Pelodiscus sinensis: one gene and its partners. The protein of the gene in region 2 interacts with the protein of the main gene of each other region in a biochemical or structural test. Links are inferred from orthologs where the notes say so. Each region holds a gene or a part of one and is shown on either strand. Other genes may lie near its edges. The genes, in order: RAB11FIP3, ARF5 and ARFIP2.

Region 1 (7,515 bases), on a different chromosome or scaffold from region 2:
AAGTGGGTGCATAACTGGCTGAATAACTATTCTCAGAGTAGTTATTAATGGTTCACAGGCATGCTGGAAGCACACAAGAAGTGGGGTTCCGCAGGGGTCTGTTTTGGGACCGGTTCTGTTCAATATCTTCAGCAATTATTTAGATGATGCCACAGAGAGTATGATTATTCATTTGAAGATGGGAGGGATTGCAATTCAGAATGATCTGGAAAAACTGGAGAAATGGTGTGAGGCAAACGGGATGAAGTTTAACAAGAACAAATGCAAAAGTGCTCCACTTAGGAGGGAACAATCCGTTTCATACATACGGACTGGGAGGTGACTGTCTAGGAAGGAGTCCTGCAGAAAGGGATCTAGGGGTTATAATGGACCACAAGCTAAATATGAGTCAACAGCGTGACACTGTTGCAAAAAAAGCAAACATGATTCTGGGATGCATTCACAGGAGTACTGTGAGCAAGACACGAGAAGTCGTTCTTCCCCTCTGTGCTGATTAGGCCTCAGTTGGAGTATTGTGTCCAGTTCTGGGCACCGCATTTCAGGAAAGCTGTGGAGAAACTGGAGAAGGTCCAGAGAAGGGCAGCAAAAATGATGAAAGGTCTAGAGAACACGAGCTATGAGGAGTGAGAAAAATTTGTTCTCCTTGGCCTCTGACGACAGGACAAGCAGCAATGGGTTTAAATTGTAGCAAGGGGGGGGTTAGGTTGGACATTAGGAAAAACTTCCTGACAGGATGGTTAACACTGGAATAAGTTGCCTAGGGAAGTTGTGGAATCTCCCTCATTGGAGATACTTAAGAGCAGGTTGACAGACATCTATCAGGGATGACCTCTTCTAGACGGTGCTTGGTCCTGCCATGAGAGCAGGGGCCTGGACTTGATGACTTCCAGGCCCCTTCCAGTTCCATTGTTCTTTGATTCTATAATACTTACTGTTATATTTAGCATGATGAGCAAATTATATATCCAGTGTCCACAAACAATGAATGGTTTATGTTGGGTTTGCAACACCTTTATTAGCAAACATCTGCTCCACCTGTAGCTTATTTCGATTGGTTTACAAAGCAGTGCTTCAAAAGGTCCAACATTTCTAACAAGCAAGCTTTCAAAACCCCTACGGGTCATCTTTCTGTGCCAGTCACATTTTTTCAGATTAGCAGATGTCCTTCACTTGAAAGGACATGTAGGAGTCCCCAAATCCTAATTATTACACACCAGCAAGTCTGTGCAGATGGAGGTGTCGCTTCAAGAAGGACTGACTTACATCTCAAGTATGCCTGTGAAGTGTCATGTTTTATTCAAGATGCCTGGGAGGCTCTACGTGCAATCTACAATTGCCACTGCTCTGAGGTATAAAGGAACCCGGGAACAGGCCAACTTATCAAAGCCCCACTGTCCACCCTCTTTACCTAAATACTTGCATGAAGGATCTGAAGCTGTTCAACTTCTTTGCTTATGCTGCCTAAAATGCAATGGCAGGGTTCCGAAATGAAAGCATCAGCCAATCGCCTTCACTACAGCTGGCAGCCCAGCTCCTGAATAAGTTCTCACTCAGCCATTCAGCAAGTGAAGAGGTGCCGGGTACATGACAAGTCACCTCAATAACAGCGGTTTAACATCAGGCTGAGAAGCCAAGCTACCGAGAACAGAGGCAGAGTCGGAAGGACCGCCAAGCCCACAGCTAGCAGACAGAAGGAGCCGGAGTTGTCAGCTTTGGTTTGTTCCATCCCCCATGAAGACAGAGAAATGACCAGACCACACAGGAAGTGAGAGGCAAACGAGAGACACGTTTTCAAACCAGGGGACCCCATCTGACCTCATGGTCGCTACAATTCGCATGAAATGAGAACAGCGCCTGCCCCGCCACACAACAGCTCGTGCTACGAGCCCTAGCGCTGTAGGAGGCTCCGCTGGCCTCGCCCCCACCTTACAGCTCGAAGAGCAGGCGAGTTTTGCCCAGCTCAGGCCAGCAGACAAGGTCCCAGCAGACGCCTGGCGCGCCGACCCAGGCACCGCCGGAAAATGCCCATGGCGAGGAGACACACAAAAGAGACACGTGCCTGCAGGACAGAGCCGAGCGGCCCTCAGCTGGCACCACCCCTGCCAGGTACCCGGCCCGAGCGACACGCGGACTCTTACCTGTTCTGCTCCATAGACTGTAGCGAACTGCACGAACTCCTCTATCCGCACGAAGCCATCCCCGTCTCGGTCCAGGGCATCGAACACGGCTCGGAGACGGGGCTCGTCTTCTTCGCAGCCGGGGGAGTCGCTCGCTCTGGGCGCAGGCTGGCCGGAGTCGGGGGGCTGGCTCAGGTCGCCGGGGCAATGGAAGGAGGGGAGAAGGTCCATCTCCTGGCCGGCCGGCGAGAAGCCCCGGGGACTTAAGGGAAGCTCCGGGCGGCTCTGGGATCCATGGTCCTCGGGCTCTGTAGTCCAAGGGGACGCTGGAGCGGGTCCCTCCGAGCGGCTCCGCGGCGGGGAGGGCTCCATGGCGAAATAGAACCCGCCGCCTCCAGGAAAGCTCCCCGGCCCCAGCCCAGCGCCGCGGGGCGGCGAGCCAGCCCGGTCCAGCCCGGGAGAGAGTCGCTGCTCGCCCGGCCCCGCAAACCCGGGCAAAGCCAACGCCCGCCGGGGGCTGCCCCGCGCATTATCAGCCGCACCTGCACCGCGGGCCGCGCCGCTGATTGGGTCCGCAGCGCCCGCGGGCCAGACGCCGCTCGCCGGCTCTCCCGGGCGGTATAAATCCTCGCGGGGGCCGGCCAAGCCCAGCCTAGGGGGCGGCATCTCTCCCCAGCGCTGCCCCGGGGGCGCTGGTCCGCTCGCCTCGCTGGGGACCAGCCCCAGGGCCGGGCCGGGCAGCTGCGCCCCCCGCTCCCCGGGGAGCTCCTGCGCCCGAGCGCGCAGCAAAGCCGGCTCCATTTTCAGCCGCCAGTCAGGCGGGCGCAGGCCGCTCAGTGCCCCTGGCTCGCCCGGCGCCGGGGCTCGGCGGGCCCGGGCAGCCCCGCGCAGAAGCGCCGCATTGCTGCTGCTCGCCGGAGCCGCCCCTGCGAGCCGGGGCCGCGCCGCTGCCGCCCGCCCGCATCCATCGTCTGCGGGGCCCGGGCAGGCCAAGCCCCGGCACGCCCGCACCTCGGGGCCCCGCACGCGCGCACGGGAGGCGAGGCGCTGCGCTCCGGCTCCGGGCTGCAGGCTCTGCTGGGCGGCGCGGCTCCCTGCTGCAGCCGGGCAGCGCTTTGTGTCTGCGGGCCCTGGCTCCGCCCGCGCCGGCCACGGGGCGGGACTGCGGCGGGGGCGGGGGCTCTGTCTGTGCCCCCCCCCGCACTGGGGGCGGGAGGCTCAGTATGTGTGCGCCCCCCCCGGGCACTGGGGGGACTCTGTGTGTATCTGTGCCACGCCGGGCACTGGGGGGGGGGGCTCTGTGTGTGCTCCCTCCCCCCCCGCGACAGTGGGGGCGGGGAGCTCCGTGCACACGCCCCTCCCCTTGCTGTCTCTTTTGGGTGACTTCTCCCAAGCCTGGGAAGGAGGGAGGTGGGCGGGGCCGCGACACCCCCAGCTCCAGCCCTACCGCAGTAGCAGTGATGTCACTCCGCCCCCCTCCTCTCCCCCCCAATCGCTCCCCGCCGCCAGCGGACTCCAGCGCCCGGGAGCAGCCGCCGCCTGCGCTGCGCTCGGTACAGCCGCGCAAAGATGCGCTGCGCAACACCTGGGGGCTGGTGGCGCGTCGGCGCTGCCAGGTTGCGCGCGTGGGGACGCCAGTAGCGTGCAGGTTGCGCGGGGCAGGCAGGGATCAGGTGCAAGGGGTGCGCTGACGGATTTATTCAGCCCACGCCTGCTCTCTGCTCCTCCGCCCCCCCCCCCCCCCCATGGGCTTGAACAGATTCCTGACAGGTCCGTGCGGGACCCCCGCCCCGCTTCTCAGGCTGCGATGGGGAGGGAGGGGAGGAGAGAGCTTCCGTCTGCATCCCGCCTCCATGAGGGGGGGGGGGGGTCCTCGATGGAAAGGGTGAGACCATCGCCCAGAGCCTACAGCTGGACTGCAGGGGCTCTTGTGTGGTGGGGCTCTTCGCCCAGTAACTAGCGTCTGCAGGGTGGGGTGGGGTTGTGGGGCCAAACAAACTAGTACGTATTTGTATGTGTCTCACCTAAGAACCACCAGGCCCTATGGGGGTCAGAGCAAAGGCCCATCCTGCCCTGCGTCCTGTCTGCCACCGCTGGCCAATGCTAAGTCCCCCAGAGGGAATGAAGAGAACAGGGAATCCTCCCGTCGCCCATTCCCAGCTTCTGACAAACTGAGGCTAGCGATACCATTCCTATCCATCCTGGCAAATAGCCATTGCTGGACCAATCCTTGAATTTCTCTCGCTCTCTTTTGTACCCTGTTATAGTGTTGGCCTTCACAACATCCTCCAACAAGGAGTTCCACAGGTTGTTTTGTGGGGAAAAGATATTTCCTTTTGTTTTCTTTTAAACCTGCTGCCTATTAATTTCATTTGCTAACCCCTAGTACTTGTGTAATAGGAAAGAGTAACTAACTCTAGGCACATTTTCCGTATCAGTCATGATTTTCTAGACTTCTATTATATCCCCTTAGTCATCTCTTTTCCAAGCAGAAAAGTCACAGTTTTATTAATCTCTCCTCATATGGCAGCTGTTCCATACCCTTAATAATTTTTGTCGCCCTTTTCTGAACTTTTTTCCAATGCCAAGGAATCTTTTGAGAGATGAGGTGACCACATCTGCACACAGTACTCCAGATATGGGTGTACCATGGATTTATACAGAGGCAATAAGATATTCTGTCTTATTCACTGTCCCTTTTGTAATGATTCCTAACATTGTTTGGTTTTCTAACTGCCGCTGGACACTGAGTGGATGTTTTCAGACAACAATCCACAATGACTCCAAGATTTCTCTTGAGTGGTAACAGCTAACTTAGTCTTCATTTTATGTGTCTAGTTGGGATTGGTTTCCAATATGCATTGCTTTGCATTTATCCACATTCAAATTCATCTGCCATTTTGTTGCTCAGTCACCTAGTTTTGAGAGATCATTTTGAGGCTCTTCACCGTTTGCTTTGGACTTGACTATCTTTGTATCATTTGCCACCTCACTATTGACCCCTTTCTCCGGATAATTTATGAGTGTGTTGAATAAGATTGGTTCCAGAGTGGCTCCTTGGGGGACACCACTGGTTATCTCTCTCCATTCTGAAAACCAACCATTTAATCCTACTCCATTTCCTCTCTTTTAACCAGTGACCAATCCATGAGGGGACCTTCCCTCTTATCCCATGGCAGCTCACTTTAAGAGCCTTTAGTGAGGGACCTTTCTGGAAATCCAAGTACATGATATCCACTGGATCCTTCTTGTCCACATGCTTTTGTTGACCCCCCCCTCAAATAATTCTAGTAGATCGGTGAGGAGGATTTTCCTTTACAGGAGCCATGTAGACTCCCCCCCCCACACACACACATTATGTCCCTCTTTGTGTCTAATAATTCTGTTCTTTGGTACAGTTTCAACCAATGTGCCTGCTATTGAAGTTAGACCTACTGGCCTGTAATTGCCAGGATCACCTCTAGAGCCCTTTTTAAATATTGGTGTCACATTGGCTATCTTCCAGTCATTTGGTACAGGAGCAAATTTAAAAGATAAGTTACAACCCACTGTTAGTCGTTCCGCAATGTCACATTAGAGTTCTTTCAGAACTCTTCGGTGAGTGCCATCTAGTCCTGGTGACTTTTACTGTTTAATTTATCAATTTGTTCTGAAACCTCCTCTAATGACCCTTCAATCTGGAACAGGTCCTCAGATTTGTCACCTAAAAAAATGTTATTGCGGGGGTGTTATGTTTATAATCTTCATTTTAGATTGCACGTACAAAGGAATTCTCATGGCATGCCGCAGCTGATGATGATGTTACACCTCAAAGCCAAGGCCAGCCCTGGCGTTAGAATGCTGTCACAGCACCTCTGGAATGATAAAAGCATCAAAACACACAACGCTAAATGTCTCCCAGGCAGCCATGAGACATGGGCAAGACACGGACAACACATCACCACCTTAGGCAACTTGATCGGTACTGTATGCACTTTCTTAGAGCAGTTTGCAGCTTCAAATGCTAGGAGAAGATTCCCAATCTTGAAATCCATTACTGCATGTCTAGTATTCCAAATATGTTCTTAAAACTCATGTGCCGTAGCCTGGGCCTCTTGTTTGTATGGTCATCTCAAGCTATATTTTTATGATCAGCTAAAACACAAGGTACACGCTCCTACGGTGGTTGGTAAACACAATCCAAAAACACGCTAAAGTCAAACTTGAAAGCATGTTGGATTGATCCCAGCAATGCAGCAACATCAGCCCCTGACAAAATAAGGTAGGAGCAGAACTGACATGTTGCTGCTAACCTCTTTGAAGCAAGGCATATTAACACTGTACATGCAAAACCAAACAGTACAAAACAAGGCTGTCAGCCTGCAACAGTCAGGGACATTTTATCGGTCCCAGGAGCCCATGTTTGCAATAATCACATTGGACTGAGCTGAGACCTCAAACATGAACATTCATCAGACACTCCATCATCATTAAACAACTGGGCATCATGCCAGCACAACTAAAAAAACCACGTACTTTGTCAATACAACTGGTTCATCCTAGCCAAGTATTAATTATTTAGTATCAATAATTACATCAAGAATCAAATTTAAGACGAGCATGAATTGAAAAATAGCATTAATGTATTCTATGCATTCATGGCCTCGGGATAGGCAAGAACACCACTTCACGTTTGACATGCCCATTCATGAAATGTCAGGGCAGAGTGGGAGCCTCCCAATGCCTTCAGTGATAAATGGAGAGAGGCTTGTGAAATCTTCACAACACTCCCATTTTACAGAAGGGTAATTGTGCACAAGAGGGGAGAAAGTGAGGAATCCTACTTCATTAGGGAAAAATATAGTTTAAGCTTATATGAGAGAGAGAGAAATAAATATAGATATATCTAGTTTGCTCTGAATTTTTATTTAATTAGTTATGTTTACAGGCCTCAAACCCTTATGTACATGAGTAACATTTCTGGACCGGCTAGTTCTCATGAGTAAAGTTATACGTGCATTCAAGGGATTATCTATGCAGCAAAGTTCACAGTGGCATAATCTGTGACTTTAAAGCACTATAATTATACTGGTATAACCCCTTCTGTACAGTCTTATTCCAAGGTATTGCAATTTGTTCATGTTATTTTGAAAAGTTTAAACTAAACAAAATCTTACTCCAGAATAGGGGCATGTCTTCACTCACCATGCCGGAGATCGACGTTCTGGTGTTTGATTTAGCGGGTCTAATATAGACCCATCAATCGAATGCTGAGGTCAGCTTCAGCCAGCATCTGTACTCCTCTGTCACAAGGAGTAAGGGAAGCTGACTGGAGCATATGTAGTCTCCGTAGCTGGAGTTGCATACCTTAAACCGACCTTACAGAGCTAGTGTAGACCTGGCCAAAGAGCATTCACAT
Region 2 (7,553 bases):
CGTCAATTGCGCTAGCCTGGGGCACCCGCTGAAGGCACCGGCCCCGCTGACCCTGCTGAGTGGCTCGGACCCCATCTCTGGCACGAGAGCGCGCACCCCGCCACAGCGCAAGCATCCGCTGGCTGGAGCGTCCAGCTGCCACGGGGTCAGGAGGCGCTCCGGTGCCCAATCCGAACTGCGTTTCGGAGAGACTGGCCTGATGGCTACCGGGTTCAAGCCCCTCTCCTAGGCCAGGGCTGTTGGCTCGGCTACCTCCTCCCCCCTGGTTCAGGGACACAATTCTGGCCTCTCTGTCACCAAGAGCTCTTCACACCCAGCAAACAACAAGCTCAAACCCTGTTGCCGTCTGCAGAGGGAGCCTATGCCTGGGGGACATGGAGGGAGCCTGCGCCTACGATCCTCATTGCCCAGCGAGTCACTGGCCTCTCCTTGAGGTGTGCTCTCTAAACCTGCAGAAACCAACGGGTGGGGGAGGCACAGGACCCCTCACTCGCATGGGTCTCAAACTGGGGGGGGGACGGGCCAGTCGTGAGCCCAGCCCCTCCTGGCAGAGGGCAAGAGGCAGCTGGACAATGCAGGAAGAGCAGGTGCTCTGGCTCGGCAGGGCCGCTCAGCTCTGCAGGGCACGTCTCCACCAGGCAATGGCTGCCCTCCCCGATGCTCTGGGATAAGGGCAGCTGCTGGCAGCGCCAGGGTAGAGCCGACTGCCCCACCACTGCTCCAGGCTGCCAGCCCCGACGGCCCAGCGCCTCCACTCCCACCGTCAAAGTACTGACCTACCTTGGGATGGAGGAACTGAGCGCACAGGGGGGTTAACACCCCCCCAGTCCTGCAACCCAACCCCACTGCCCCCCAGGAACACAGCCCTCCCCATTCTCCAGAGCCCTGCACCCCCCCGCCCTGCATCCCACCCCTCTCCCCATATCGCCCTGCCCCCCCAGTCCCGCAACCCAACCCCACTGCCCCCCAGGAACACAGCCCTCCCCATTCTCCAGAGCCCTGCACCCCCCCGCCCTGCATCCCGCCCCTCTCCCCATATCGCCCTGCCCCCCCCCAGTCCCGCAACCCAACCCCACTGCCCCCCAGGAACACAGCCCTCCCCATTCTCCAGAGCCCTGCACCCCCCCGCCCTGCATCCCGCCCCTCCCCCCATATCGCCCTGCCCCCCCCAGCCCCGCAACCCAACCCCACTGCCCCCCGGGAACACAGCCCTCCCCATTCTCCAGAGCCCTGCACCCCCCCGCCCTGCATCCCGCCCCTCCCCCCATATCGCCCTGCCCCCCCCAGTCCCGCAACCCAACCCCACTGCCCCCCGGGAACACAGCCCTCCCCATTCTCCAGAGCCCTGCACCCCCCCGCCCTGCATCCCACCCCTCTCCCCATATCGCCCTGCCCCCCCAGTCCCGCAACCCAACCCCACTGCCCCCAAGGAACACAGCCCTCCCCATTCTCCAGAGCCCTGCATCCCCCCCCACCCTGCATCCCGCCCCTCCCCCCATATCGCCCTGCCCCCCCCAGTCCCGCAACCCAACCCCACTGCCCCCCGGGAACACAGCCCTCCCCATTCTCCAGAGCCCTGCACCCCCCCGCCCTGCATCCCGCCCCTCTCCCCATATCGCCCTGCCCCCCCCAGCCCCGCAACCCAACCCCACTGCCCCCCGGGAACACAGCCCTCCCCATTCTCCAGAGCCCTGCACCCCCCCGCCCTGCATCCCGCCCCTCTCCCCATATCGCCCTGCCCCCCCCAGTCCCGCAACCCAACCCCACTGCCCCCCAGGAACACAGCCCTCCCCATTCTCCAGAGCCCTGCATCCCCCCCCACCCTGCATCCCGCCCCTCCCCCCATATCGCCCTGCCCCCCCCAGTCCCGCAACCCAACCCCACTGCCCCCCGGGAACACAGCCCTCCCCATTCTCCAGAGCCCTGCACCCCCCCGCCCTGCATCCCACCCCTCTCCCCATATCGCCCTGCCCCCCCCAGCCCCGCAACCCAACCCCACTGCCCCCCGGGAACACAGCCCTCCCCATTCTCCAGAGCCCTGCATCCCCCCGCCCTGCATCCCGCCCCTCTCCCCATATCGCCCTGCCCCCCCCAGTCCCGCAACCCAACCCCACTGCCCCCCGGGAACACAGCCCTCCCCATTCTCCAGAGCCCTGCATCCCCCCCCACCCTGCATCCCGCCCCTCCCCCCATATCGCCCTGCCCCCCCCAGTCCCGCAACCCAACCCCACTGCCCCCCGGGAACACAGCCCTCCCCATTCTCCAGAGCCCTGCACCCCCCCGCCCTGCATCCCACCCCTCTCCCCATATCGCCCTGCCCCCCCCAGCCCCGCAACCCAACCCCACTGCCCCCCGGGAACACAGCCCTCCCCATTCTCCAGAGCCCTGCATCCCCCCGCCCTGCATCCCGCCCCTCTCCCCATATCGCCCTGCCCCCCCCAGTCCCGCAACCCAACCCCACTGCCCCCCGGGAACACAGCCCTCCCCATTCTCCAGAGCCCTGCATCCCGCCCCTCTCCCCATATCGCCCTGCCCCCCCCAGTCCCGCAACCCAACCCCACTGCCCCCCGGGAACACAGCCCTCCCCATTCTCCAGAGCCCTGCATCCCCCCCCCCCTGCCCGTTGGGCCCCCCCGGCCCTGCGTCCCCCCCCGGCCCGTAGGGCCCCCCCGGCCCTGCGTCCCCCCCCCTGCCCGTTGGGCCCCCCCGGCCCTGCGTCCCCCCCCCCCCTGCCCGTAGGGCCCCCCCGGCCCTGCGTCCCCCCCCGGCCCGTAGGGCCCCCCCGGCCCTGCGTCCCCCCCCCTGCCCGTTGGGCCCCCCCGGCCCTGCGTCCCCCCCCCCGCCCGTAGGGCCCCCCCGGGGGTGGGAGGGGGGGACGCGGCCTCACCCATGAGGATCCGCATCTGCTTCTTGCCGAAGATCCGCGAGAAGATGGCGGAGACCGTGAGGCCCATGGCTGGGGAGCGGGAGCCGCGCTGCGCCCCGAGCCTGCCGACACCGCCGCTGCGAGCAGCCTGGCCCCGCCCCCTGGCAGGGCCCCGCCCCCGCCCGCTGTAGCCCCGCCCTCGGCAGAGCCCCCCCACCGAGCCTTAGCCCCGCCTCCTGGCAGATCCCCGCCCCCAGAGCTCCCTAGCGAGTCTTAGCCCCGCCCCCGCCCGCCGTAGCCCTGCCCTCGGCAGAGCCCCCCCAACGAGCCTTAGCCCCGCCCTCGGCAGAGCCCCCCACCGAGCCTTAGCCCCGCCTCCTGGCAGATTCCCCCCCCACAGAGCCCCCCAACGAGCCTTAGCCCCGCCTCCTGGCAGATTCCCCCCCCCACAGAGCTCCCTAGCGAGTCTTAGCCCCGCCCCTGGCACAGCCCCGCCCCGCCCGCCGTAGCCCCGCCTCCTGGCAGAGCCGCCCCCACAGAGCCTCCTCCCGAGTCTTAGCCCCGCCCCGCCCCTGGCACAGCCCCGCCCCGCCCGCCGTAGCCCCGCCTCCTGGCAGAGCCGCCCCCACAGAGCCTCCTCCCGAGTCTTAGCCCCGCCCCGTCAGAGCCCCGTCCACCCTGTCATAGGCTCCCTCGCATCAGAGCCCCGCCCCCTAGACGAGCCCCCCCCAGCCATAGCCCCGCCCCCTCCCGCCTTAATCCCGCCTCCTGACAGAGCCCCCCCCACAGAACCCGCTCCCGAGCCTTAACCCCGCCTCCTGAAAGAGCCCCGCCCCCGTCCGCCTTAGTCCCGCCCCTTGGCAGAGCCCCAAACCCGGCAACACTCCGATACCTGTAGAACGAGCCCCGCCCCGTGGCAGTGGCCCCGCCCCCAGAAGCATGGGCACGTGGCCAGGCGCCGTCAGTCGCCTCCTGCAAGAGCCCCGCCCCTGCAGCACTAGCTCCGCCTCCTCGAGGATCCTGGACGCTAGCAGCAGCGCGATCCTCCGCAGGAGCCACGCCCTCTACCAATAGCCCCGCCTCCTACAGCATTGGCCCCACCCTTGCACCGCGAGCTCCGCCTCTTCAAGTGCTAGCCACGCCCCCAGGAGCTACACTACCCCGTCTCTAGAAAGGGCCACAATCCCTTGAATCCTGCCAGAGCCCCATTTTTGGGGGAGTCCTGCTCCCTCACCCCGAAACTTCTGCTCCCTGCAGCTCCAGGGCTCTAGGCACAATGCTGGTGATACTCCTGGATCCCACCCTGTGCCAGGGCCTTGCAGTGAGGTCACACCGCTTGGAAATGGCAGCAGGGCTTGAAATTAATCTGAATGGGACAGTCCACCCCTCTGGAGCTATTGTCGCTGACTGCCTGGTGTACCTGGGCTGCCTTTTGCATTCCAAGGGGCTTTTTTAAATGAAAACTACACTTGTTTTGTTAGTCTTTAAGGTGCTGCAAGACTTAGGCTATGTCTACATTGGCATGATCTTGCACAAATACTCTTTAACGCAAGAGTTCTTGCGTTAAAGTATTTGCGCACGAGAGCATCTACACTGGCATGTGCCTTTGCGTAAGAGATGTGCTTTTGCACAAGAGCATCCATGCCAGTGTAGACGCTCTCTTGCGCAAGAAAGCTCCGATGGCCATTTTAACCAAAGGGCTTTCCTGGGCAAGAAATTCATGTTGCCTATCTACACTGGCCTCTGCGCAAGAACAGTTACACAAGAGGGCTTATTCCTGAGTGAGAGCATCATAGTTCTTGTGCAAGAAGCCCTGATTTCACACATTAGAACGTCAGTGTTCTTGCGCAAGATCTCGCGGCCAGTGTAGCCAGGCAGCAAGTTTTTGCACAAAAGCCACCGCTTTGGCGCAAGATTGCGCCAATGTAGACACAGCCTTGGGGTTTTTCTTAAGTTTTTCCCATTACAGACTAACGGGGGCTACCCCTCTGATCATAAATCATCCCAGAGATGGGGTTCTAGCTAGGAGCAACCTCCCTATGGGCCATGCTTTCCCCCACCGGCCACGAGAGACAACAGTGGGTGAGGGAACAGGCTTTATTGGACCAACTTCCGCTGGACCTAACAAGGTGCTCTGGGTCTCAAAGGCTTCTGGTTTTCACCCGCGGGGAAGACATCGCAGCTTCACCCACCTTGCCCCTAGCATGCCGGACCGGCAGAGCCCGAGCGACCCAGGGCTAGGAAGTGACTTCTCCACGGAGCCACGCTGAGCGGGCCCGGCGACACGTCCCTGCCCGTGGGCCGGGGCAGAGGCTCGCTGCTGAGCAGGAACCAGCCCAACAGGATAGTGGGGCGGGGTGGGGGCGGGCCCCCACGGGAAGAAGGAGGCCGGCTCCGTGGGGCTGAACACGCCTCTGCCGGGCCCCCGCATCGCCTGCTCAGGGCCTCGGGCAAAGGCAGCTCCCGCCCCGGCCCTAGCTAGGGAACCGGTCCCCTCCTGCAGCCGTGCAGCGCCTCCCTCCCCACGTGGCAGCTACTGCCTCGGAGCCCCGCCCCCAAATCTCATAGCCCCGCCCCTTCCCGAGGAGCGCACCTGCGCACTTGGGCGCTGCGACCTGGGCAGAAGAGTCAAAAGGCTACTGCAATCGGCACATGCGCAGTGAGAAAGAAGCGGGGCCAGCAGGTAGAGCGCTGAGATATGCGCGCATGCGCGGCGACCGTTGGCCCCCGGGGGGGGGGAAATGACGCCATACGCGCACGCGTAGCGACCGTTAGCGGGGAACCTCAAGAGCGGCGAGCGTCGGTTGGTGACCTACGTCCTGGGCGCAGGCGCGTTGGCCGCGAGAGGCGCGGGGTGCGCAAGCGCGAGGCTCGCGGGCCGGGGAGCGGCGGTTTACGCGCAGGCGTGATGAGGGTGGGCCGGGCGTGACGGGTTCCACGCATGCGTGTGGCGGGAGGTCCGGGTGAGCGGAGCCGCCTTGCTGACGTGTGAGGAGCGGCGGGGGGAGGGGCCGGCCTCTCCCCGTCCCGCCGAAACACCGAGCGGGCGGCCTCTTCCCGCCCGCCCGCTGAGGGGGGCGCGATCCCGGGGGCGGCCTCTTCCCGCCCGCTGAGGGGGGGGCTGTGACGGAACCGGAGTCACTCCGGAGTCTGCGCCTTCCCCGGGGGCTGCCCGAGCCCCCCCGCCATGGAGAAGTTCGGGATGAGCTTCGGGGGCGGCCCCAGCCGCAGGGAGCTCGCGGAGACCGTGGAGGCGCAGCGGAAGCAGCTGCTCCAGTACCAGACGCGCCTGGGGGACGTGGTGCGGGCCTACAAGAGCCTGCTGGCCGAGAAGGAAGCCTTGGAAGCCAGCTTGAAAGTCTTGTCCGTGTCCCACGAGACCGACGCGGGCCTGGGTGGCCCCCCGCCCCCGGGCGCTGCCCACTCCGGCGTGTCCCTTGCCGACTGTGCGGATGACCGGAGTTCCGCGCACAGCGAGGACAGCACGGGCACGGCCACCAGTGTGGACACGGCTGCCAGCATGACCAGTGCCAAGGGTGAACTGGGGACAGACGATGAGCGAACCGGAGCTGGGGGGCCCCCCCTGAAATCGGAGGAGGCGAGCGAGTCGGAGAGTGGGGTCAGCACGAGCAGTGGGGATGTGCCAGGCGCGGCTAGTGAGACTGACAAAAGGGTGCTCCAGCTGAAGACTCAACTGGCCACCTTAACCAGCTCCCTGGCTACAGTCACCCAGGAGAAATCCCGCATGGAAGCCTCGTACCAAGCAGACAAGAAAAAGATGAAGCAGGACCTGGATGAGGCCAGTAAAAAGGCTGAGGAAGAGAGGAGCAAGTTGGAGGCAGAGATGAAGTGTGTCCAGGAGCAGCTGGCAGAGACCAAAGCTCGTCTTATTACTCAGCAACATGACCGGGCCCAAGAGCAGAGTGACCATGCCGTGATGCTGCGGGAGCTGCAGAAGCTGCTGCAAGGTGAAAGGACCTTGCGCCAGGATGTGGAGCTAAAGTTGGAGGAGACTAAGGAAGCACTGGCTGGAAGGGTGTACATGGCAGACCGAGTGGAAGAGTCTGAACTGCAGACAAAGCAGCTGAACAGGGTGGTGGAGGAGCTGAAGAGAGAGCTGCAGGCCGTGCAGGAAACGAGCAGCAAGCCAGATCCCAGGCTGCAGGAGCTACAGGAGGAGATGGCCAGCCTCAAGAGTCATTTTCAAGCACAGCTGCTGCAAGAGATGAAAAAGGTAATTCTTTGTTGGTACACCAGGGTGTACTAGCCAACCTATTATATAGGAGGAGAGCATTAGTGAGTACAGAGATTTGTAGTGAGTTTGGGTTGGCATAAATCCTGCGTCTTCATAGGACCATAAATGAGAGAAAAATCTACTGTTCCATTAGAAGGAATTCCTTCTTAATAAGGATTCAAACTGCTGTGCTTCAGGAGCATAGGTCAACCACTGTAGGAGTAGGAAGAAACTTGTTTTATAAGGAACTGTGCCATAATTGTCCATTATAGTTTCATATACCTTCTGAAGCACATTACCCAGGCCACTGTCAGAGACCAGTGGATAGAGCACTGTTCTAAGCATTGTGGCAGTTCCTGTGACTGTACCTTTGTAAAACTTTTCAAGAGTCTGCAGTGATAGGAGCAGTGCAAATTGAAACTATTCTAATAGAATGAAATAATTGTAATTAGG
Region 3 (8,163 bases), on a different chromosome or scaffold from region 2:
TACTGTGTCCAGTTCTGGGCGCCACATTTCAAGAAAGATGTGGAGAAATTGGAAAGGGTACAGAGAAGAGCGACAAGAATGATTAAAGGTTTAGAGAACATGACCTATGAAGCCAGGCTTCATGAACTGGGCTTGTTTAGTTTGGAAAAAAGAAGATTAAGGGGGGACATGATAGCGGTTTTCAAATATCTAAAAGGGTGTCACAAGGAGGAAGGAGAAAATTTGTTCCTCTTGGTTTCTGAGGACAGGACAAGGAGTAATGGGCTTAAAGTGCAGCAGGGGAGGTTTAGATTGGACATTAGGAAAAAATTCCTAACTGTCAGGGTGGTCAAATATTGGAATAAATTGCCAAGGGAGGTGGTGGAATCTCCCTCTCTGGAGATATTTAAGAACAGGTTAGATAGACATCTGTCAGGGATAGTGTAGACGGAGCTTGATCCTGCCTTGAGGGCGGGGGGCTGGACTCGATGACCTCTCGAGGTCCCTTCCAGTCCTATTATTCTATGATTCTATGATTCTTTTTTTGTGTTTTTCCTATTTATATGGCTATAAAACCTTTTACTATTGGTTTTAATTCCCTTTGCAAGGTCCAACTCTACCTGACTTTTAGTCTTTCTCACTTTGTCCCTACATGCTCTAACCTCAATAAGGCAGCTTTCTTTACTGATCCCTCCCATCTTGCACTCCTTAATGCTTTCTGCTTTTTCTTAATCACCTCCCTGAGATGCTTGCTCACCCAGCTTGGTCTAACACACCTGCCTATACATTTTTTCCCTTTTCTTGGGATACAGGCTTCTGACAGCTTCTGCAACTTTAACTTAAAATAATTCCAGGCCTCTTCCACCCCAAAATCCATAATTTCTTTAGTCCAAACAACTTCCCTAACGAATTTCCTTAATTTACTAAAGTTAGCCCTTTTGAAATAAAAAACCCTCGTCTCAGATTTATTTTTGTTTATCCTTCCATTTAATTTGAACTGAATTAGCTCATGATCACTCGAGCCAAGGTTGTCCCCTACAACCATTTCATCTCTGAGGTCCTCACTACTCACCAAATCTAAAATAGCACCCCCCCCCCCTTGTTGGTTCAGCAACTACTTGATGAAGGAATTCATCAGCTCTTGTCCCTGGGGCTGTGCCAGTTAGCACAGTCACTGCCTGGACAGTCCTGGCCCACTGCTCTGTCCCCGGCAGAACCCTCCAGAGTGAGCACAGAGCGCGTATCCGTAGCGCCGCATGCCGATATCCCACGTACGGAGCGCGGAGCGCGTATCTGTAGCGCCACACACAGATATCCCACGTACGGGAGCGCAGAGCACGTATCCGTAGCGCCACACACAGATATCCCACGTACGGGAGCACGGAGCGCGTATCTGTAGCGCCGCACGCCGATATCCCACGTACGGGAGTGCGGAGGCGCATATCCGTAGCGCCACACACAGATATCCCACGTACGGGAGCACAGAGCACGTATCCGTAGCGCCACACACAGATATCCCACGTACGGGAGCGCGGAGCGCGTATCCGTAGCGCCGCACACAGATATCCCACGTACGGGAGCGCGGAGCGCGTATCCATAGCGCCGCACGCCGATATCCCACATACGGGAGCGTGGAGCGCGTATCCGTAGCGCCGCACGCCGATATCCCACGTACAGGAGCGCGGAGCACGTATCCGTAGCGCCACACACAGATATCCCACGTACGGGAGCGCGGAGCGCGTATCCATAGCGCCGCACGCCGATATCCCACGTACGGGAGCGCGTATCCGTAGCGCCGCACACCCGATATCCCACGTACGGGAGCGCGGAGCGCGTATCCGTATCGCCGCACGCCCATATCCCACGTACGGGAGCGTGGAGCGCGTATCCGTAGTGCCGCACGCCGATATCCCACGTACGGGAGCGCGGAGCACGTATCCGTAGCACCACACACAGATATCCCACGTACGGGAGCGCGGAGCGCGTATCCATAGCGCCGCATGCCGATATCCCACGTACGGGAGCGCGGAGTACGTATCCGTAGCGCCGCATGCCGATATCCCACGTACGGGAGCGCGGAGCGCGTATCCGTAGCGCCGCACGCCGATATCCCACGTACAGGAGCGCGGAGCGCGTATCCGTAGCGCCGCACGCCGATATCCCACGTACGGGAGCGCGGAGCGCGTATCCGTAGCGCCGCATGCCGATATCCCACGTACGGGAGCGCGGAGCACGTATCCGTAGCGCCGCACGCCGATATCCCACGTACAGGAGCGCGGAGCGCGTATCCGTAGCGCCGCACACAGATATCCCACGTACGGGAGCGCGGAGCGCGTATCCGTAGCGCCGCACACAGATATCCCACGTACGGGAGCGCGGAGCGCGTATCCGTAGCGCCGCACGCCGATATCCCACGTACGGGAGCGCGTATCCGTAGCGCCGCACGCCGATATCCCACGTACAGGAGCGCGGAGCGCGTATCCGTAGCGCCGCACGCCGATATCCCACGTACGGGAGCAGCACACACACAATCAGTAGGACATAAGCTTTCATATGACACCTCATGTGGCCCCCTTTGTATAGACTTTTGGGGCAAACACCCCCCTGTGGGCGCAGCCGTGACTTGTCTGAACCCCTTTAAAATCCAGTAACGTGACACACGGCCCTCCACGTCCTTAGCCGCAGCTCAATCTCCAGGCATCACAGCTGTGCCGAGGAGATCCTGCCTGGGACGAACTGCTGCTGGCGGAGCGTGGCCTGGCGGGCCCCACATGCCTGTCAGGCAGTTCCTTGCCCCTTCTCCTGTCTCAGAGCCTGAAACTCCCCAGGGGTGTCTGGCTGCTCCCTGCTGGGACAGGATCCAGCCCCCTGGAAGGATCATTCTCTTCCAGCCGGCAATCAGCTGGGACTTGGTCAGTTCCCCCACGGGCAGGCCCCCCTCCTTGCACAGCCCCAAGGCGCCTGCCTTCAGGAGTCGGGTGTAGGCCATCTCCCTCCATTCCCCGGGTGCAGACACACCGGCCAATGCTGCAGCACCCCACGATCCCAGGAAGAACCCTTCCTGGGCCCCCCTTCCCCGCAGAGTTAGACCGCCCTCTCCTGGGATCACTTCCCACAGTCCACAGGGGAACCTCTTCTGGGGGGGGGGCACCCCCTTCTCCGTGGCCCCACTTGGGTTAAGCTGCTTTCCTCTCCACTTCCTGGAACTGCGTCCCATGGCCTCCAGTGCCTGGCTCTTGCAAGCCCCCTTCCTTCTCCTGTGCCCAGTGACTTCCTGGCAGATGCTCCGTCCACGGGGTACAGTCCATCCCACCACTGTCCTCTAGTGTGGGGGAGTCCCCAGCCCTGCACCCCGATGCGCAGCAGGTAGAACACAGGAGTTACACATTGACACAGACACAGCGTAGCCTGGACTTGTTACAGGAGCCAGGAACGTTCAGTACAGCCCAGCCTGGGGAGACTGGGCCCTGTTCCCCCTTCCTGCTCAATACCCCCCTCTCGTCCTGAAAACCAGCCAAGACTGACCCATACCCCAGACCCTAGTCCCCAGCCTGGTGTCAGCCCTGCCCCCCTTTGTTCCCTTCCCGGGCCCAGGGTGTTATCTACTGTTCCCCTGGCCCTCAGGACCTCCCCAGTGAGTCCTGCCCAGCTTCCCCGTCTTCATCCAGACAGTGCACTGTGCCCAGGGAAACTGAGGCACGCACACACACCTGGAGTCCTTACAGAACAGCAGACTCACATACAGCACCGCAAGGCCAACAGAATATGGCCCAAATACAGTCCCACTATGTCACTGTGTCACTGAGGGTATGTCTAGACTCCGTCCCTGTCGCCAGAGGGGTGTGAATTAGACTGACATTGCTAATGGCGCGGGGATTTCAATAGCCCGCGCTTCATTAGAATAAAAATGGCCGACATGGCAATTTGCCGGTAAAAAGTGGCAGTCTAGACGTGGGTCGGTCGACAAGGAAAGCCTTTTCTGACCGATCCCTTATGCCTCGTGCAACGACGTTTGCTGGATCGGTCGGAAACAGCTTTCCTTGCTGACCAATTCCTGTCTAGACTGCTGCTTTTTGCCGGCAATGTGCGGGAGATTGGAATCCCTGCGTCATTAGCAATGTTGGTCTGTCTAATTCACACCCCTCTGGCGACAGAGGGATGGAGTCTAGACATGCCCTGAGCATGGTGTATACATCCCAATGCCGGCGGGAGGGAGATTGAGGCATTTGGTTGGCTACATGGCATGGAAAGGGACAAAAGGGGAGACTGTGTCATGCTCTGTGGTTAGCATGTGGAACTCCTTGCCACAGGATGTCACTGAGAGAAGAGGGTAAATCCTGATGTGGGGCATGGGGAGAGGAAGATTAGGGCAGCTGGTTGGTCACACAGCACAGGGACCGGGGGATGCTCCGTGGCATGGAAAGGGAAGACTGCCATGGTTCGTGGTTAGCCTGTGGAACTCCCCACCACGTGATGTCACTGAGGCCTTAGCAAGACTTTGAGTGGCCTGGCCACTCTGGGGGGGCGGGACTAGCCAGAGGGATAGGAGGGCCGAGCAGTTTGGGCAGGAATATGAAGCCTGCTCATCTCTGAGTATCGGTGTCCCAGATGAGTCCCTCCTGGGGGCAGGTTCCCCCGCTGCTGCCTTAGCAGCACATGGTGCTAGGCCCGAGTCTGGGCCTTGCGCCGCCACCAGAGCAGCACAGGACACAGCCAAGGCAAGGCCCCATTGCCGGGAGCAGGATGGAGATGGCTGGCTTAGCCCTGCCGGGCCCTGGGAGTCTGCTGCAGGCCGGGGCCTTCCTGCCGCTGCCCTGCTGTGGGGTGGGGTGGGGTGGAGGCACTGAGGGGGCCTTGCAGGGCATAGGCAAAGTGCCACTGTTCCAGCCGGTGGGGGGCACTGTGGCCTGGCGGCCGTCACCCCTCAGAGGCACTTCCCCTGCCACCCCTCTTCTGCTGGGCCGGCGGGCACGGCCAGAGTGCCAGCAACAGCCACTCTGCAAGCCAGGGCGCTGGTGGGGACCGGGAGGCGGCTGTGCCCAAGCGTGCTGCTCCCTGGATCCCCTGCCTCCGGGAGCGGGGGATATTGGCACAGCAGCACCATGCGGCTGGCGACAGTCCCCCAAGGGCTGGTGGGGTGGCACTGTAGGGCGCCCAGACCTGCAGCGAAGAGGCCTGGGAGGAGACGCTGCCCGACCTGCCAGCCCCGTGCTCTGTGTGTTCCAGGCTCCGGGCTGCACCAGCCCCAGCCCAGCCCCACGGCAGCGGGGGACGAGGCCGCTCGGGGTCTTGCTGTGGAGAAGTTTGATATTGTCAAGAAATGGGGCATCAACACATACAAGGTGAGTTTCCACCTCGGTCAGGCGGGGGGAGACGGGGGCACGGGGGGCTCTCTCAAAGGAGTGGGGGCGGAGGGGGGCTCTCTCAAAGGAGCGGGGGGCAGAGGGGGCTCTCTCAAAGGAGCGGGGGGCAGAGGGGGCTCTCCCGAAGGAGCGGGGGGCCGGAGGGGGCTCTCCCGAAGGAGCGGGGGGCCGGAGGGGGCTCTCCCGAAGGAGCGGGGGGGCCGGAGGGGGCTCTCCCGAAGGAGCGGGGGGCCGGGGGGCAGAGGGACTGTCACATGGGGGGGCTGTCCCGGTCACGTTAGCGGAGTATAAGGGAAGCAGCCAGGTCACTGCTGCGCCCATGGGGGGGGGTGGGGGGTTTGCCCCAAAAGTTGGTCCGAAGGGGCCCTGTGAGGTGTCGAACAAAAGCTACTTTCTACTGAGTCTGTGGGGCAAACCTTTGCCGGGGGGCGTGGGGGGCAGCAGGCCCCGTGCTGCCGGGCTGGGAGGGCCCCACTGGGCATGCTCCCAGCAGAGCCGTATATAAAGGCGGGGAGCCCGGCAAGGGGCCCAGGCTGCCGCCCCGGTGTCCCTGCAGCAGCTGAAGCCAGAGCCAGAGCGGCAGGAAGCAGCCCGGGGCCAGGGCTTGCCGGATTCCCCACCCAGCAGGCAGGAGCGTGAACCCTGCCTGCTGGGACCCGGTGGAGGGGGGCCCCGGGTGCCCCGCCCCCCCTTTCCGCGGCAAACACGCCGGCCAGGGGGGGCTTTTTCCGGAGCTAGGCCCCAGAGACCATATATACCCTGCTAGGGGGGCCTGGACTTGGGGCTAGTTCTGGGAATACCATATTTGCCCTGAGAGAGGGGCCGAGACTTTTGGGACTTTGGGTACTGTATATGCCCTGAGAGAAGGGCCTGGACCGACACACGGGCCAGTAGAGGGGGGCTGCAGCCCCCGGGGGGCCTACCCCTTGACAGATGGGACTTGGTCCTGCTGTGCAGGCAGGGGACTGGACTCAGTGACCTTCAAGGCCCCTTCCAGTTCTAGGAGACAGGCATCTCCAGTCATTTAAAAAAAACCATTGTGTCTGCTCGTCATAGATCGGTTCCTGTCCGTGTGGAGTTAGGAATATGGACTCTGTGTGGAGACGGGACGTTTCTCTGCATGTGCTTGAGCAATGGGCTCAACCTATGGACATGCTAATTAGCAAGGCTCCAGGGACAACGGGCCTCCTAAGTACCAGAGACCCACCTGGGAAGGAATCCAGGTGCCTGGCCAGAGACCATGTGACTATCTCCAGCTTGGAAGAGACCAGGAAGGGAGATAAAGATGCCACAGTGGCCAGGTCTGGGCACAGCTGAGGGCGTCCGCTCAGGGCAAATTGCTCAACTTCGAGGCTCCTTACAGCCCCAGACTGGAGACCTTCCCAAACAGGCCACACACCAGTCCCCCAGAGCACTCCAGCTGCCTGCCTGAAGCCTCCCGAGCAAAACCCCTCCCACACCCCAGCAATATCCGTGCCCCAGATGGCCCCGGGCCTCATACACAGGTGAGGGGTCCTAGCACCCAATCCCACCTACCCCGAACAAGTTCTGTCCGGTTCCAAGAAACCAGCCACAGATCCCTGGTCAATTTCCCCTCCGGACCTTACCCACAAATCACGCTGGGCCAATCCTTTAGCATCTAACATCTAAAGGTTTATCAGTGAGGGTACGTCTAGACAACAGGGTTTTGTCGACAGAAGTTTTGTTGACAGATACTGTCGACAAAGCTTCTGTCGACAAAGAGCGTCTAGACACATCCAGTTCTGTCGACAACGCAAGCTGCTTTGTCAACATAACAGTGTGGACGCAAAGGACAGTGTAGATGCAGTAGCGCCTTCTGGCGACAAAAGGCGTTATTCCTTGTAAAATGAGGTTTACCAGCGTCGACAACACTGCTGAGTTCTGTCGACGTTATGTCAACAGAACTCAGCGCTAGTGTAGACGCAGGTTTAGTTTTGTCGACAAAACCCTGTAGTCTAGACACCCCCTAAGAGAAAGGAAGCGTGAGAGTGAGGTTGTTAAAGGATCGTACGTTACATGCAGTGAATCTCCCAGTTCTCGAGGCAGGCTCTAGCAGAGATGTTACAGCTGCTGGCTTAGAAGTCCTTGGTGTATATCCTGTATCCAGATGGGCCCACAGTTCTTCCCGGCTCGTGATTCCCTGTGAGGCCGCATCTGGGGTCAGGAGCAGATCTGAGGACCAAGATGGAGTCGGCCACATGACATCTTTATCTCCCCCCCGCCCGGCTTCTTCCAAGCTGGAGACAGTCACATGGTCTCTGGCCAGGCACCTGGATTCCTTCCCAGGTGGGTCTCTGGTACTTAGGAGGCCCCTTGTCCCTGGAGCCTTGCTAATTAGCATGTCCATAGGCTGAGCCCATTGCTCAAGCACATGCAGAGAAACGTCCCGTCTCCACACAGAGTCCATATTCCTAACTCCACACGGACAGGAACCGATCTATGAAGAGCAGACACAGACTCAGAAGAAAGTAGCTTTTGTTTGACACCTCACAGGGCCCCTTTGTACCCACTTTTGGGGCAAACACCCCCCAGGGGTGCAGCAGTGACCTGGCTGCTTCCCTTAAACTCCAGTAACGTGACAGTCCCAAACGAGTGGTGGGAATGGGGGCAGATGGGGCTGTCGCATGGGGCAGCGGGGTGGGGGGCTGTCCCAAGGGGCAGGGGAGGTGGAGGGAGGCTGTCCCAAGGGGCAGCGGGGGGGGCTGTCTCAAGGGACGGGGGGGCTGTCCCAAGGAGCGACGGGATGGGGGGCTGTCCTGTGGGGCGGCGGGGGGGTCTGTCTCAAGGGACGGGGGGGGGT

The links.
Region 1: the proteins of ARF5 (region 2) and RAB11FIP3 form a complex in vitro, tested with the Homo sapiens proteins (2 studies listed by BioGRID). The link is inferred for Pelodiscus sinensis from reciprocal best matches to the Homo sapiens genes ARF5 and RAB11FIP3.
Region 3: the proteins of ARF5 (region 2) and ARFIP2 form a complex in vitro, tested with the Homo sapiens proteins (2 studies listed by BioGRID). The link is inferred for Pelodiscus sinensis from reciprocal best matches to the Homo sapiens genes ARF5 and ARFIP2.

The regions. Positions count from the first base shown.
Region 1 is NC_134726.1:2,492,026-2,499,540, forward strand, and holds the start of RAB11FIP3 (rab11 family-interacting protein 3), read right to left. Parts: upstream 3,222-7,515; 5' UTR 2,919-3,221; coding exon 2,139-2,918; intron 1-2,138. UniProt on the Homo sapiens protein: Downstream effector molecule for Rab11 GTPase which is involved in endocytic trafficking, cytokinesis and intracellular ciliogenesis by participating in membrane delivery. Recruited by Rab11 to endosomes where it links Rab11 to dynein motor complex.
Region 2 is NC_134711.1:567,300-574,852, forward strand, and holds the start of ARF5 (ADP-ribosylation factor 5), read right to left. Parts: upstream 3,050-7,553; 5' UTR 2,955-3,049; coding exon 2,888-2,954; intron 1-2,887. Other genes in the region: GCC1 (GRIP and coiled-coil domain-containing protein 1), read left to right, coding at 6,054-7,100.
Region 3 is NW_027465814.1:176,900-185,062, reverse strand, and holds the start of ARFIP2 (arfaptin-2), read left to right. Parts: upstream 1-5,066; 5' UTR 5,067-5,081; coding exon 5,082-5,321; intron 5,322-8,163. UniProt on the Homo sapiens protein: Plays a role in constitutive metalloproteinase (MMP) secretion from the trans Golgi network. May have important functions during vesicle biogenesis at certain cargo subdomains, which could be predominantly utilized by secreted MMPs, such as MMP7 and MMP2.